4 linked regions of the Caenorhabditis elegans genome follow. The protein of the gene in region 3 purifies or fractionates together with the protein of the main gene of each other region. This does not show direct contact. Each region holds a gene or a part of one and is shown on either strand. Other genes may lie near its edges.

What was found.
Region 1: the proteins of Y37E3.17 (region 3) and smap-1 fractionate together in Caenorhabditis elegans (co-fractionation; one large-scale study listed by BioGRID). This does not show direct contact.
Region 2: the proteins of Y37E3.17 (region 3) and F33H2.6 fractionate together in Caenorhabditis elegans (co-fractionation; one large-scale study listed by BioGRID). This does not show direct contact.
Region 4: the proteins of Y37E3.17 (region 3) and C18B2.4 fractionate together in Caenorhabditis elegans (co-fractionation; one large-scale study listed by BioGRID). This does not show direct contact.

The regions. Positions count from the first base shown.
Region 1 is NC_003281.10:10,736,363-10,741,528, reverse strand, and holds smap-1 (Arf-GAP domain-containing protein), read left to right. Parts: upstream 1-1,736; 5' UTR 1,737-1,750; coding exon 1,751-1,872; intron 1,873-2,178; coding exon 2,179-2,876; intron 2,877-3,087; coding exon 3,088-3,560; intron 3,561-4,083; coding exon 4,084-4,278; 3' UTR 4,279-4,636; downstream 4,637-5,166. Other genes in the region: tbb-1 (Tubulin beta chain), read left to right, coding at 1-120, 171-548; tass-1 (Protein FAM32A), read left to right, coding at 763-884, 923-1,004, 1,049-1,168.
Region 2 is NC_003279.8:15,014,329-15,018,154, reverse strand, and holds F33H2.6 (Regulator of microtubule dynamics protein 1), read left to right. Parts: upstream 1-1,559; 5' UTR 1,560-1,575; coding exon 1,576-1,844; intron 1,845-1,903; coding exon 1,904-2,080; intron 2,081-2,236; coding exon 2,237-2,373; intron 2,374-2,734; coding exon 2,735-2,865; intron 2,866-3,041; coding exon 3,042-3,233; 3' UTR 3,234-3,301; downstream 3,302-3,826. Other genes in the region: dog-1 (Helicase ATP-binding domain-containing protein), read left to right, coding at 454-682.
Region 3 is NC_003279.8:2,126,991-2,131,613, reverse strand, and holds the start of Y37E3.17 (Dimethylglycine dehydrogenase, mitochondrial), read right to left. Parts: upstream 3,025-4,623; coding exon 2,841-3,024; intron 1-2,840.
Region 4 is NC_003284.9:3,603,772-3,607,332, reverse strand, and holds C18B2.4 (GRAM domain-containing protein), read left to right. Parts: upstream 1-1,591; 5' UTR 1,592-1,598; coding exon 1,599-1,660; intron 1,661-1,729; coding exon 1,730-1,832; intron 1,833-1,952; coding exon 1,953-2,066; intron 2,067-2,116; coding exon 2,117-2,234; intron 2,235-2,282; coding exon 2,283-2,444; intron 2,445-2,491; coding exon 2,492-2,823; 3' UTR 2,824-3,042; downstream 3,043-3,561. Other genes in the region: C18B2.5 (G domain-containing protein), read left to right, coding at 353-454; C18B2.3 (uncharacterized protein), read right to left, coding at 3,186-3,207, 3,253-3,356.

The sequences.
Region 1 (5,166 bases), on a different chromosome or scaffold from region 3:
ACTGTCGCCGAGCTTACTCAACAAATGTTCGACGCCAAGAACATGATGGCTGCTTGCGATCCAAGACACGGAAGATACCTCACCGTTGCTGCTATGTTCCGTGGACGCATGTCCATGAGAGTAAGTTCATCGATTGCTTGTAACTTTTCACTATATGCTTTGTTTTTCAGGAGGTTGACGAGCAGATGCTCAGTGTCCAGAACAAGAACTCCTCGTACTTCGTTGAATGGATTCCAAACAACGTCAAGACTGCTGTGTGCGACATCCCACCACGTGGACTCAAGATGGCTGCCACCTTCGTCGGAAACTCCACTGCTATCCAGGAGCTCTTCAAGCGTATCTCGGAGCAATTCACCGCCATGTTCCGCAGAAAGGCCTTCCTTCATTGGTACACTGGTGAGGGTATGGACGAGATGGAGTTCACCGAGGCTGAAAGCAACATGAACGACTTGATCTCGGAGTACCAACAATACCAGGAAGCTACCGCCGAAGACGAGCCACTCGACGAGTTCGCCGGAGAAGGGGAGACATACGAGTCTGAGCAATAATCTGTGTATCAATCACTAAATTATCCTGCCCCGTTTCGTAATTTCCTGTACAATGATCTTTTCTTTCGCCCACTCCCAATATTTTTATGACTCGAATGAACGATGATTAATTTAAACTTTTTTCCAGTGTTCTCATTATGTTTCAATCATTAAAATATCTTGCAAAAGCTCGATAGAAGGTAGACACTGGTTCACAATTTTCATATTCAGAACAATGAAAGACACAGTCGTCAAAGGATCTCTCAAGTTGAAAAAAGTATCGACAGAAGCGCCAAAGAAGACTAAAAAGAGTAAGCCAGCTATGGACTTGAAGCAAGTTGACATGACGATCAGAAGGTATGTGTAATCCGAAACCAGACAGCTAACGGTCCCAGAGATTCCAGAAACACTTCCGGCGGTGGGCCACACAAAACCGAGGCTGAGCTTCGGTTCGAGGCTAGAAGACAGGCGAACATGGTAGGCGCTTTTTTTTTTAATACTTAAAATTCACATAATTTCAGGCGGAAAGAATGCTGAAACAGGCGGCGTTGAGTCATCGTGAAAAGGTGGAGAAGTTGAACAAGCAGCTCGGCGAGATGACAGAATTCAACGACATTCCAAAAGTTTCCTGGACGAAATAATAATAATAATCTCTCTCTCTCTCTCTCTCTCTCTCTCTCTCTGTACTTTACTTGAATCATTTGTGCATAACTGTCAATAAATCTTTTTTGGTTTTTTTGCTCCAAAATGTATATTTTCCTTGATTAATTCGTGAATTTTCGTAGCTTGAAAATCCTGTACTTCTAATAAAATGCCATGGCCACGTCATTATAATTCTCCAATAATTCCCACTTTGCGTCAAATTCGGCGTATTCACAGACAAAGAGTGTCTGCGTCTCTCCGTCTCTCGCCTCTGTCCTCACACACGCCCTCATTTGCGCGAGAGCCTGACACCGGCTCCGTGAAGCTGGAGCCGACTTCATTGATTATTCGGGTTACTGGCCTCACACACACGTTCTTCTCAAATTTCAGTGGAACTCGAGGAAGCTCAGAATTTATCATTTTTTCATATTATCTCCTCTTTTGTGCATTTCCCAATTTCCCACGCGTCATCGTCGTCGAATATTGATTGAGTTGCCCTTTTCTCTCTTATCATTTTCAACATCACGTTTCCGCATTTTCATTTCCATCGAGTTCAAGGTTTTTCAGTTTCAGAAGCACAAATGCTGCGAGGTAAAGTGGATCCGAAGAAGGAAGAGCAGGAAAGACTGCAAGGCTTCCTGTTGGACATGCTCAAGGAAGAGGAGAACAAGTATTGTGCCGATTGTCAGGCGAAAACGCCAAGGTGAGAATTTGAGACGAAAATCTGGAAATTCGCGAATTTAATATAGTATATTTCGGCTTAAAATCGTTATTGCAGTAAATTTACAGGTTTGCCGGAATAATTCTTTCGAAAACTGAAAAAAGTCAAAAATTATTTTTCCGCTTGGTTACAGTTTTTAGACTTTTTTTGTCAATGCAAAACCTTCGCGGATTTATTGGTCCAAGGAATTATTCCGATAAATCCACAAATTTCAAAATTTACCCCAAAAACCGTGCCAGGATTGCAAAAATTGCAGAAATAACAACAAAAAATCAATATTTATTTCAGATGGGCTGCCTGGAACCTCGGCGTCTTCATCTGCATCCGATGCGCCGGCATCCACCGTAACCTCGGCGTTCACATCTCAAAAGTGCGCTCAGTGAATCTGGACTCGTGGACGCCCGAACAAGTGCAGACGATGCGGGTGATGGGCAACGAGAAGGCCCGACAAGTCTACGAACATGATCTACCAGCGCAATTTCGGCGGCCCACCAATGATCAGCAAATGGAACAATTCATTCGGAGCAAGTATGAACAGAAACGGTATATTCTGCGAGATTTCGTGTATCCAAGAGTTGACGCGAGCCAGCTGCCGAAATCATTGTCTCAGGCACAGAAGAAGGTCGGAACGCCCGTTGTGAACATTGCATCACGTGGAAGTAGCTCTAGCAATGGACATTCGACGGCTTCAGCTGCTGCTGCTGCTCCATCGCTTCTAGATTTTTCTGATCCTCCAGCCAGCACAACTCCTGCTAAGAAGGCCGTCAACTTATTCGACGACTTTGATGGATTAAGTCTAGGACCAGCGGCTCCGGCAGCAGCTCCAGCTGCTCTCAACGATGATTTCGACGATTTCGGATCATTTGTCTCGGCGAACTCACAAAATGCTCAACAGAATGCTCAATCTCTTGGAGGAGGATTCGCCGATTTCTCATCGGCTCCAACGACAGCAGCTGCAGCGCCTTCAGCTTCTTCTGGCCTCGATGGTATTGAATTTTCACCTGGTCTTTGTCGCAAAAAAAGATAATCAAAAAATTGAGGAAAAATGTATGAAAATTGAACCAAATTTCAATTCCTAATTTTTATCCAAAAAAAAAGTCATTTTTCGGGACCTTGGAAAATCGAACAAGCGGGAACCAAAATTCATTTGTTTTTCACTTTTGTAAATAATTTTTTTAAATGATTTTTCCTTTTCAGATCTCACCGCTCTCTCCTCAACGGCTCCAGCGACAAATGGAAGTGATCAAAAGAAAACCAACGCAGATATTCTTTCGCTTTTCGGCCCATCTGGTGGCATATCGGCTCCGAATGTAGTTGCTCCCGGAGGATTTGCCGGATTTGGACTGCAAGCTGCTCCGGCTCAAATCCCGCAACAAGCTTCTTCGTTCCACCAATTCGGGGCTCCAGCTCCAGCTCCACAACAAAATGATATGTTTGGAGGACTGTCGGGTATCAATTTTGGAGCACCACCACCATCGGCTCAAATGTCTCAAATCCCACCAATGGCTCCACCACAATACTTTGGAGCTGCTCAATTTGGAGCAATGTCTTCCAGTGGATTCGGTGGAATGAGTATGCAGTCTAAACCAACGCCTACTTCACCAACTGGATCACAAGGATTCAATATTCCGAATAAATCGAATGCTTTCGCTGATTTGGCACTTGGAAAGGTACAATTTTGGCACTTTTGAGCGTTAAAATTCTAGATATATTGAAGAAAAAAACTAGAAATTTAGCAAAAAATTCAAAATTAAAATTTTTTTCCAAACAAAATACCCGTTTTTCGATAACTCTCGCTTTATGCTTTTTTTTCAAGCAAAATACCTTATTTTTCAGAAAAAATTGTCTGATTTTCGTTGAAAAATAAACGAGTATAATCAAGAAAAAATCATATCATTTTTTACCAATTTTTGCATGAATTATTAACTAGAAAGTTCCGGAAAAAACATCCAAAAGCACAATTAATTTGGATTTTTGTTTCAAATTTCCTAGGTTTTTGTACCGAAAAGAATTCACATTTTTTATTGAATAATTTCACAATTTTTTTTGGAAAAAAACCAGCAATTTGATGCAATTTTTTGAAAAAAAAAGTAAAGTTTTGAAAAAAATTTCGATCATTAAACTAAAAAAAGTCGAACCTGATTCGATATTTCTTGAAAAAAAAAATTAACCTATTATAATTTTTTTTTCCAGGTAATGAAGACAAACTACGGACAAAGTGCAATTCATCACCAAGCGGCACCAATTTCCTCTAATAGAGCGTCACCGATGCCGGCACAATCCAACACTGCCGCCAACAATGATCTTTTCGATATGTTCGCCTCGGCACCGCCACCGGTTACAGTCAATTCGTCTTCGTCTGGACTTGACGACCTCCTTGGACTCTGAAAAACTAGTTTTCCACCTAAAAAATGCATAATTTGACCTGTGATTTTATTTTTCTTTTCTCCCTCTCTAAACACTTTCTTTCCTAGGAAACTGCGCTTCTTTTTGTGATTTTTTTCTAGTAAATTATTATTCTCATCAACATTTCCCCCCGATAAAGTTCGGTTGTGTGAGCCCCAGAAATTCCAGTCCCTTCAGCATATCCGAAATGTGTATTAGGAATACTACAACTTTTTTTTCAGATTTCTATAGCCCCTCTCTTTTTCTTTCTCCTTCAACGTACTAATTCATGCTTAAACTGATTTTTAATGTGTTTTTTTTTCTGTCGAATGAAATTTATCGAGATTCCTAATCTTGAACTAAAATTTCGACTGAAAATGACTTTTGTCGACCCCCGGCGAAATAGTACGAGAAACGAGTAGCACGCAGACATGTTCGTCCTGATTCCGGTGGGAAATATCACACGAATCGTGGAGACGCAGCAGAAAAGCCGAATGAGGCGGAATGCGCGGGAGGGAATTGGGCTGAAGAAGACGAAGAAGATGAAAGGAAACCACAATTATCGTTCTTCGGTTTGAACATTTCGATTATTTTTGTTTTTCCTTTTTTTCTCTTCCGTTAGTTTTCTCGATTTTTCTGGAGATTCGGTTTAATCCGGTTTTTTTTTGCGAAAATTTAATTCCAAAATGTGCCAACTGTAAAGGCGCACATCTTCTACCCTTGCATGGGTTCTGCAACGATCAAAGTCAGTTTGAGAGAAGTGAGCATGTGCCTTTAAAAATTACTGTAATTTCAAACTTTCCTGCGAAGTTTCTCTCGAGTTTTGTTAAAATTTAAGTGTTTTATTGCTATATTTAATTTTAAAAAAAGCGAATGTTAATTTCTTCGAAA
Region 2 (3,826 bases), about 13 Mb from region 3:
TTTTTACATTATTTTCCGTCTATTGCCGGGTTTCACCTGGAAAACCTGCAATAGACGGGAAATAATGTAAAAATACGTTTGTAAATAGGAGTTTCCTCATCAAAATGAAGGCAATATTACACGTTTTTTTCTATTAAAACAGTTGGTTAATGAATAAAATTTTTTTAAGTACAAAAATGACTAAACAATACGAACAACGAAGGAAAATTGAATATCACTGTCCAAATTCGAAAATAAAATCGAGCCCGTAAATCGGCATAAGCGCTACTTTTAAAGAAATACTGTAATTTTCGCTGCGAGATATTTTGCGAGTCAAATATGTTGTAAAATACGCATTCTCAGGATTTAGTGTTCCCGTAATATCAAATCTATAATATCACGTGAAATAAGGGAATCAGTAGAAAAACCATCTGGCCAAATTTCACTACAATCTAAAATTCATTAAATCTTCAGATGTCTCCGGCACAAAAACGACTGGGGAGCAATGCTAATGATCGATGAACGCCTAGAACGTCAAACTGGAAATCTTGTGGGCGGAGCCTCGTCTGCTCGTGTCTCAAAATGGATTCGTGCTCAACTGAAAAGCTATCCGAGTTTTAAAGAATTTAATGCGAATTTTCGCGAATTCATCCAGCGTCGACACGCTGTTGAGAAAGCAAAAAAAGAGAATTTTTGTGAATGAATTAAACTTTTTCTAACTTTTTTTTTTCGATTAAAACCCCCGCCCCTTATCTTTTTTACGTGTAAAATTTATGATTTTTCCTCATTTTCTTAAACAATTTTTAGACGTCTTTTTTAAAAGTTAGAATCTCCCTAATGCATTGTTTTTACCCCTTTTTTCAAATCGATTTTCATAAAGCTTGGCCGAACTTTTTCTCTCTTCTCTCATTATCACTTATCAGTGTTTACCTTTACACCACTTGTACTTTGAACTGTGAAATGCTGACAACATTATAGCGTTCTCAGTAGCCTACGAGAATTTTTCTAAAACTTGCCTGGAACCAGTTTGAACGCAAAATTTTTCCCTTTCGAGTGTTCAAAATTAATTTTCAAATTTTCATTTTGTTCGAAAAAGGTTTTGGCGTATGACTCTTTCCGAATATCTTTGTGAAATTAAAAAAAAACTTCTCGGATTTAATATTTCAGCTTGAAATCTCGCACCCAAAACTTAACGCGCCAGAGGCAGTCTCATTGGGGCGCACCGTGCTGTGTCGATTTACGGGATTTTTCACCATCTGTCATGTTTTTTCAAAAACTTTTTTTTTGGTTATTATTTGGAAAATTGTTTTTTCCGTGTCAATTGAACATTTTATTATATCCAAATCACAACTCGATGAAAATCCGAATTTTCGAAAAAAAAAACGATAAATTTAAGGCTTTTTTAGTTTAAAAAATTTAAAGATATTCGGAATTAGGGGGTTGGAATAATTCAGTGAATGCGTCTTTGAGTATGAGTTTTTTGAAAAATTACCTATGTACTTGGAAAAAGGCCATCGAAATTAATAATATATTTTTGTTTCAATATTTATAATTTATTTAAAATTGTCTAATTTTTGCAGCCTCTGAAGAAAAAAAATGTTCAAACGAGTATTCAATCTCCGTTTTATTTCGAATTTCTCTCGCCGCCCGACATCTTCTCCAAAACTTCCGAAATTAATTGCAATCACTGGTGGAACCTCGCTTGGAATCGCATTTTTTGGAAAAACTGAAGAGAACAAGAATTTGGACTCAGGAAATGGACAATTAATTGATGGAAAACCGAAAAATTTCGATTTAATTGTTCGAAATTCGGATGAACTTTATGATAATTATCTAATCGATAATTGTTATAATATTTTGAAAAAGTGAATTTTCAATTAACTTTTAGAAATGTCCATTTTAACTTTTCTTTCCAATTTTTAAGATTTGAAAATTCCAATTGCTCCGAGCTTCTATGGCGTCTGGCACGTGTGGTTTGTGAGAAAGGAAAACTCTCAAAAGATCAAAATCAACGAAAAGAGCTCATTTTGGAAGCCTATGGAATTGTGAAAAAAGCTCTTGACAATGAGCCAAAGAATGGATGCTTTGGAGCACATAAATGGTACGATTTGGAGTTAAAACGCTATTTATTCCGGGTAGAACAACACAATTTTGCGAGAAAAAAAAACTATGACTGAGGGTGGAAATCGAAAACTGAGCACCTGCCTTTTTTGGCGGCTGAGTTTTAGCATTTTCTATGCCACATGGCTATCTTTAGGTATGCCATTCTACTGGATTACGTTGGAGAGATCGAGGGAAACAAATCGAGAATCGAAAAATCATTCCAAGTGCGGAAACATTTAGAGAAGGCGTTATCGATTTTCGAGAACGATCCAACAACGTGGCATATTTTGGGTAAGGGATTCCGGATTGAACAGAGAAAAAAAAAGAAAAATCATGTTAGAATTTATTCACGTGGAGTCAGACGGTCCCTTTTCGCTTTGATCTACGAAACATGCGGGAGGTGAGACGTAGACATCTCAACTGATTTCGCATGGTTAACAGTGTGCTTACGTCACAAATTTTCTGGGAAAAAATTCCCGCATTTTTTGTAGATCAAACCGCAATGAGACTTTCTGACACCCCGTGTTTATTCCGAATTAAAGCTCTACAGCTCACCGTTCAATCAACGGGGGCGGGCGGTGCTTAACCATTATTTTTTTTAGATATTTCTGCATTTCGCTTCGAGAATTAAAAAGAAAACCTCAAATTTCAGGAGTCTGGCACTTTTCCTTCGCCAATATGGGTTACGCGACTCGAATGGTGGCCAAAGCTATTTTCGCAACTCCACCAGCATCCACATATCAGGAGGCTCTACACTATTTCCTAAAGGCTGAACAGATTTCGGTAAAAAAATATCAGAATTCAAACACTTTTAGTGAATCTCTCATAGTCAATCAAAAACATACAAAAATGAAAAGTTGTCGACCAAATTTTTTTACACTTTGAACATTTTCCTCCACTTGGGAAGTAAATAGTGCCACGAAAAATTCAGATCATTATAGTTAAATTCAAATTTTCAGCCCGGATTCTACAGTACGAATACCTACTACATTGGCGAAGTGTACGAACAACTAGGACAAAAAGCCGAAGCACTTGATGCATTCAAACAATCATTCAAAATGCCAGTTGTGACTTCTGATGACGCGGTTATTCATAAGAAAGCATACGAGAAACTGAAGAAATATGGAGTCAAGGATACTGAAGTTGTTTAGATTGTGAAAAATATGTATTTGTAAGATGATTGTTGTAATTTTTAACAGAATAAAAATATTTATTTGAATTTAATAATTGTCTAATGTCAGCTAAATAATATTGTCGGAAATGAGGCACCACGGTTTCAAGATCTGGTGAAATTCCGGATCTACGTTTTCCGGAAATACGATTTCCGGATCTACGTTTTCCGAATCTAGCACCGTGCCAACCCACAAAACGCTTTTTTATTCACTCGACGCACGTTGTTTTTTGAAAATTTCTTCTAGAAGAAACGCTTAACAACACGCGACGCTTAACAACGGAGCATCGTTGTCACGTTTTTCTCCGAGAAAAATAGCGTTTTAAGAGTTGGCCAGATCCGGAAAACGTAGATCCGGAAATGGTAGATCCGGAAAACGGAGATCCGGAATTTTACCAGATCTTGATACCGTGGTGCGAGGCACCACGTTTTCAAGATCTGTTCAAAAACAAGATCTACGAAAACAAGATCCACCAAAACAAGATCTACGTTTTCAGGATCTGGCACCGTGCCAACTGCGGTTTTCTCGAAGAAAACGAAACAACGATGCTCCGATGTTACGTTCGCGTGTTG
Region 3 (4,623 bases):
ATTTTGGTCACAAAATCAACATGGATTCCGCCCCAGAAAATCAACGGTGACTAATATGTTAGAATCTTTGAATGATTGGACTAAAAGTATTGATCTCGGTGAGCAAATCGATATCATATACCTAGACTTTTCCAAGGCTTTCGACCGGCTCCCACATGACTTACTTTTAGATAAACTCGTATCTTTAAGAATGAACAAAAATTTACTGATATGGTTGAATGAATTTCTGTCAAATAGAAGCTTTAGGGTTAGAATTGGGCAAACGCTGTCATCCAGAAAATTGGCCACCTGTGGCGTCCCACAAGGCGCAGTTCTGTCACCACTTTTGTTTGGTATCTATGTTAATGATATATCATCAATATTACCCGAAAAAGTAGCATGTAAGCAGTTTGCAGATGACACGAAATCGTATGTATCGACCCCTAAGACTGAAAGCGAAAACAATTTACAGTCTGCTCTAGATGCTGTAGTAGATTGGACAAGGGGATCAAAACTCACTCTAAACCAATCTAAGACAGTTCACGTCACAGTAGGAAAACGTAGAATAGATTTCAAATACCACCTAGACGGTTACCCTATTGAGCGAAAAGCTATTACCCGAGACCTTGGATTTTTAATCTCTGAAAAGCTGGATTTCTCTGAGCATTGGAGGAAATGTATCAATCTAGCTAAATTTCAACTGGCCAACATGTTCAACCAGTACAGTACCTCCAATAAGAAACTAATGATTCTCTTATACAAAACTTTCATATGCCCTCGTTTAGAATATGGAACAGTAGTGTCTTCTCCGACAAAAAAATCGGATGAGAAAGCAATAGAGTCTGTACAAAACGCATTCACTAGGCGCCTTTATAGTAGAATCAAAAAAAGATATATTAATCCAACTGATAAAGATTACAAAACTGCCATGGAACGTAACGAACTATTCGACCTCCAAACCTTAAGCACGAGACGTAAAATAATTGACAGAATCCAAATAATCAGAATGAATACTGGTAAAGTAGACTTAAAAACATATGAGTTTTTTGAGCAACAAGAGACCCACACTCGTTCTAAAAAGAAATATATCTGGAGCACAGGAAAATCTAAACTTAGGAGACACTTTTTTGTTAACAGAACACTACCCACAATGAAGCAACACTGATCTAATGTTACCTTATCCTCACTTCTATCCATCATTTATTCTTGCCATTTATACATCGATATTTCTGTTTTTTGCTTCTTCTCCAATGTAGCCATCATTTTCTTCTCATCTCTTTTTATTTTTGTTTCGTTTTATTTGTGTAATTTATTTATGTAACCACTTGTGATGGTTTGTATCTATTAATGTGTGTTTTTTTTTTCTACCTCACGATATTTTACTATCGTAATAAATTAAATTAAATTAAATTAAATTTTGGGTATACAATTTAATGCGTTCTCAACTCGATTTAGGTATTTTAAAGTCGATGGACGGCGAGATTCGGTAGAAAAAATTTAAAAATCTGTCTGAGACCCCACCAAAACAGGAAAACAGGATGCAGTGGGCGGAGCAAATTCGCAACTACCCCGCACACTTTTTTCGCAAGCCTCGCACGTTTTTTCCATGATATTGTTGCATTTTTTTTTCAAAAGAAAAAACTTTTTTTCAAGAAGTTTCATTTTGAAATTCGATGTCTTCAGACAATTTTGAGTCTAATAAAGCAATTTTTTAAAAAAATCGACTACTTTTTTTGGTACTTGTGTATTACATGCCATACTCATTTTAATAGTAATTTTTTAAGCCATGAAAAACAAAAACGTGAACCACACTTTTGTATTTTTAGGCTTAGGAAATAACATTTTCTAAGCCTAAAGAGGAAAAATGTATATCACGTTTATTTTAATTGGAGAAATTAATGACAATTTAATTCAATTTAAAAATGAGGGCATGTAATACACAACACTGCAACATTTTCCTCACGAGGGACGAGGAAAAGTGGTTTCTAGGCCATGGCCGAGGGGCCGACAAGTTTCAGCGGCCATTTATCTTGCTTTGTTTTCCGCCTGTTTTCTTTCGTTTTTCCCCGATTTTTTTCGTTTTTTCTTAATAAAACTGATAAATAAATATTTTTTGCAGATGCTAAAACAATTTCCAAGTAAAAAAATTATGTATTCTTTTTTCATAACGAGACCGCTGAAAAAGTTTTGAGGTTTTCAAAATTCGACATTTTGTGCGAAAACCTCGACTTTTTCACTAAAAAATTTGAATTTTGAAAACCTCAAAACTTTTTCAGCGGTCTCGTTATGAAAATCAGGTAGTTTCAACATCTAAGCGGTATATTTATCATGTTTGGAAAAAAGTTTAGGTTTGGTATTCCCGTAATCCATCATATTGCATTGACCACTTTCACCGCTGCTTGCCCACTGAATACATAATTTTTTTACTTGGAAATTGTTTTAGCATCTGCAAAAAATATTTATTTATCAGTTTTATTAAGAAAAAACGGGGGAAAGATCGGTGTAAAACGAAAGAAAACAGGCGGAAAACAAAGCAAGATAAATGGCCGCTGAAACTTGTCGGCCCCTCGGCCATGGCCTAGAAACCACTTTTCCTCGTCCCTCGTGAGGAAAAAGTTGCAGTGCACAAGTACCCTTTTTTTTTGAAAATTGACTTCAAAAACTGCTCCCTAAGTTGGTCCAAACGAAAAAAAAAGTGTTTTTTTTTCAATTTTTTGATTTTTCAAGTTCCTGCGTTTGTTTCCGTTTTTTGAGCAGACATTTTGTAATTTTACAGGCAAAAATTTTTTTTCCTGATTTTTCAGTCGAAAATCATATTGTTTCATTCAAAAATTTCCTCCAATTAATTAATTATTAATTACCGGATGCTCTTTCCAAGAGGAGTACATCTTTGATATTTCTCTTCGTCAAATGATAAGCTACAGAGCTTCCAGCTACACCGGAACCGAGAACACATGCGAATACGTGTTTTGTCGATGAAGAATTTCGAATCGATGTGTGCAGGTCTGACGACGTGCGAATCAGTGAACGAGACGCGTGAAGCATCTGTAAATTGAAATAAATTGTACTTGAAAAAAAATTATTTGATGAAAAAAATGTTACGAAACAATGAAAATGTATATATATGGCAGGGGTGGGCGGAAATTGCCGTTCAGCATTTGTCGACAAATTCGACAAATTGCCGGTTTGCCGGAAATTTTCATTCTTGGCAAATTGTCAATTTGCCGACTTGCCGGAAATGTTCAATTCCGGCAATTTTCCGGTTTGCTGATTTGCCGGAAATTTTCATTTTCGGTAATTTGCCGAATATCAGATTTGCCGGAAATTTTCTTTTTTGGCAAATTGTCAATTTGCCGATTTTCCGGAAATTTTTAATTCCGGCAATTTTCCGGTTTGCCGATTTGCCGGAAATTTTCATTTTTGGCAAATTGTCAATTTGCCGATTTTCCGGAAATTTTTAATTCCGGCAATTTTCCGGTTTGCCGATTTGCCGGATATCATTTTTTTGAATGTTTAGAGGGATTTTTTATAAAACGGAAACGCTTAAAACTGTGTCTTTTTGAATATTTTCCGTTTTTTCTACATATTTTTATAGAAATTACTTAATTTCGGCAAATTCAGCAAATTTGCCGGAAATTTTTAATTCCGGCAATTTGCCGATTTGCCGGAAAAAATCGTTTGCCGCCCACCCCTGATATTTGGAAAAAATGGGAAAAAGGAAAAATTATATACATGTTTTGAAAAAAATTTAAAAAATACCTGAATTTAGTAAATTTCCTGGAAGTTTTCTTTATTTTATTATTTTTCGAATTTTATACCTAGAAAATGTAAATGTTATTACGGGAGCACAAAATTCTGAGAATTTTTTGAAATATATTATACACAAATTTAATTTCAAGTTTTTGCTCTAATATATTACGGGAACACAAAATTCTGAAAATGCGTATTACACAACATATTTTACGCGCAAAATTATTATTATCTCGTAGCGAAAACTTATGACTACTGTAGCGCCCTTGTGTCGATTTACGTGATCTCGCGATTGTTGAATATATTTTATTTTCGAATTTTGACAGCGATGTATTCAATTTTTCTTCGTTTTTTCGTATTGTTTTGTCACTTTTTTGCTTTTTATTCAATATTTTAACCATAAATAATAGTAAATTATTTTATTGAAAATACGTTTTTCAATTAAAATAATTTACCATTAGTTATAAATAAAATATTGAATAAAAAGCAAAAAAGCGACAAAACAATACGAAAAAAAACCAAGAAAAATTGAATATATCGCTGTCAAAATTCGAAAAGAAAATATTTTCAACAATCGCGAGATCCCGTAAATCGACACAAGGTCGCTACAGTAGTCATAAGTTTTCGCTACGAGATATTAATAATTTTGCGCGTAAGATGTGTTGTGTAATACGCATTCTCAGAGATTTTGTGTTCACGTAATATATTAGAGCAAAACCTTGAAATTAAAATTTTGAATAATATAATATTTCAAAAAGTTGTTGGTTGTTTGCAATTTTTTTAAAATTTTTTTCATTTCAAAGGGGGCTATTTTCAAATAAATAAAACACATTTCCCAAAACCCAGAAGAAATTCAAATTTTTCCAGCAAAAAAATAAATAAATATCCAAGGGC
Region 4 (3,561 bases), on a different chromosome or scaffold from region 3:
CTCCAACTTCAGCATAATTTTAATTTATTTCATATGTATGGGAAGGCTTTCAAATATTCAAAATAGAAAACTTTCCATGAAAACTATTCCGGTTTTTATAGTAATTATGACATAAAATTTTTCAAATGTGCTTATGAACATTTAAATAATTTTTTTAAACATATTTATATATTTTTGTTTTCGGTTTAGTTCTAAGCTTTTTTCATATCAAGTTTTTAACTCATATTAACTCACTTTTCAAAATTGTATTAATAATGTTCGAATGTGAGAGATGATATTAATTTTTGCGGTTTTGATAGGTCAGCTTATTATCTATGCTTCTGAAACTACCTTATTAAATCTTTCACTTCAGGATTTGCAAGAAACTGTCCACCCACTAGTTGCCATCCTCCGACACAACAAGGGACAAAAAGTCGAACAAGCTCCAGTGTTTGCTGATAAAGTGTTGTATTAAAAAACAATTTATTATTATTAGTATTATTATTTGTGTTTTCTGATTCAATGGTTTCAATTTAATCTCCGATCCACTCATTTTGTATTTATTGTTCGACTTAACATTTTTATCCAACGCGACTCGATAAACATTCCCTATCAATCGTTTTTTTTGTTTTTCAGCTTCATTTCTTTTCGCTAAGGAACTAATATAATTTTTGGCAGAATAATATTGTTCATTGATATTTAAATCAAAAATACAAATAATATTATAGGAAATTCTAGAAATTTCGACATATCAGTTAAGAGGAACGCTATTACAAGTGTCAAGTTTTACAAATATGATTACCTAGTGTATAAAACGAATTTCAGGAAATTTTAATTTTCAAAGTGTACAGAGAAAGCCTAGATTGATAGATACTATCACTTTCAAAAGTTCCTTAAAATTCAAAGCAAATGATGATACTCATTTTAAAGTGAATTAAAATTGTGAACATAACATTCGAACTTTTTGGAGCTTAGGCCGGATAATAATGTGTTGAACTATACAGAAACAAAAAAGAAACATTTGAATACTTTGGAGTACATCTACTTTAAAAACCAGAAAAGTTTCAAATGAATTCACCAAATTTTTAAGAGTCTTTCAAATTAACATAATAAATGTTCTCTTATTTATTTATTTTAACTTTCACCACAAATTGTTCAACAAATTAATACAACTACTTGTTTTTTTTCCAGAAATGTTTAAATACACGACCAAAATCGACTCAAAATTTTCCAAAAGTAGCTCGTTGCCTAATTACCTTTATTTCCCGGCAATTCTGCCCTTATAATAATAAACCTTCATATTCATGATTAATGGCATCGATACTCCCCTCTCTATCTAATGGCAAACACTATTTGTCTTTCGCCACTCACCACTCACTAGAGAGCCATGACTTGTGAGAGACGCAGAAAACAAGGCAATGGAAAACGCGCTCCATTGCGGGTCTCGGGGTCGTGAGTCAGTGTTGGCTACCCTCGCCGTATGAAAACGTTGCCATCACGCCATTCCATGCCGTTTTTCGTCGATTTCGTGTATTTCGCAATTCCCGATCTGCTCATTAATTCCATTTTCCTCCTTAAAAAGCAGTATTTTTGATTTTTTTTTGTTCTTCAGCAGCACCATGTCGCTCAACACGTCGCACACACCCGATGGCCAAGGCATTTTGATTTATAATGGAGAAATGTAAGTTTTTTAAATTCTTTCTCAAAACTGATTCTTTTCAAATTATGAAATAAGTTTTTATAATTTCAGGATTCTTCTCTACACAACAAATGTAAAGCTGAAGTTCGAGAAGTACAATGTTCCTGCGTTCAAGTCCACCAAGTCGGGAGCCCTCTATCTCACTTCACACAGAGTGAGTTTTAAAGTTTTTGAGTTGCAAATTTTCATTTCTGGATAGGTTTTTTTTTTCATTTTAGCTGAAAACCAAAACGTTTGATCCTAAATTTCAAATATTTCAACTTTATTTTTTCAGATAATTTTCATGAACGAGAGCAAGAAAGATGAGTTCAAATCCTTCGCGATGCCATTCAATTCAGTGCGAGATGTGAAACTTGAACAGCCACTTCTCACCCCAAACTATCTCAAGGTTTTTTTTTCAATCTTAAATGACTTGCAGTCACATTTTTAATTTTTCAGGGATGGGTTCAACCAATGCCTGGAGGCAACTTTGATGGATGTCCGGAATGGCGTTTGTCTTTCCCGAAAGGAGGATGCATCGAGTTTGGAGAGGCACTTCTTCGCGCTGCTGACATGGGTACGATTGTCTTGAATAGTTCCCATCAATGTTTTGGTTCTGTTTCAGCATCTAGAGCTCGTCCATTTGCTGCTCCACCAGCATATGGTGGAAATATGCAACAGCAATCAGGCACTACGTACTATGCTGCTCCACCGACATACTACTTGGTGCAAGGGACATACCAAGGATTCCAAGCTCCGACGAACGTTTTTCCTGAGCGCCCACCTGGTAAGATTTATGACGTAGTAATTTCTTCGAAACAAATTGTTTTCCAGCACAAAACGTCTACGTTTACGACATGCCTCCACCATACCCAGGAATCGGACAAACCACGCCGTATCCTGCCGGACAATTCCAGCCAGTCGGAACCGTCCAGTACCAGAATGTTGGGGCGTACCCTGGACAACCTCAACAGCCAGGACAATACCATCCTTATCCAACTAATCAACCACCGCAGGGAGGATTCAACGTCGGACAAGGAGCTGCTCCTCATCCTTCTACTCTTCCAGATTATAACAATATTCAACAACAATCTAGCGCTCAGCCACCAGCCTACAATGCTTACCAAGAAGCTCCACCACTTCCATCCAAAAATGGACCGTTGTAAAGTTTTAATTTATCCGCTTAAAGCTTATGAGCTTGTATTTTTCAAAAGTTCGTGGCTTTTCGACTCTTCAATCCAATGATTCCCGTCCTCGCTTTGTCCGTCTCCCCGCATGTTTATATACAACGGTGATGTTTAATTTACTGAATGAATGTAATTATTTTGATTTTATTGGAATATCAATTAAAGTATAAAACAAGAAAAAAAAGAATAACTGAACCGAGCTGCTCATCGCACTTTGTTAAACACCAAACAAAATGCGAAAACGGCGTCAAGAAGTCGTGTAGAAAGAACATATCGTGAATGTTGAATCGCGATGGAAAAATGTTGAAGTCGATGAAATGGATCAGAAGGTTTTAGAAAATTTAATAAACGCGTCCTCCAAGTCTGAATTAAGAATAATTAATTTACCAAAAACTAAAACCTCAGTACCTGTCAAATCGGCTAGAGTAAGAGTAGTTTCCACGGCTGAGAGATGACGAGAGGTTGAGCTCCTTCTCGCGACGGGAAGCCCAAGTAGCTGGTGAAAGCCAGTACTAAAATAGATTGCACTTCATTTTATTAAAAAATAATACTTGTGCAGAGTGAGTATCCAGTTGTGAGGCTTTTAATAAACCCGAATTTTGGTTTTTTTTTAAATTGAGTTTTAAAAGATTATATCTAGGCTCAAGTGTGAGTAAGAAATAAATGAGTATATACAAAACTCTAGAAAACTGGATAATACATATTTTTAGTTCAGCC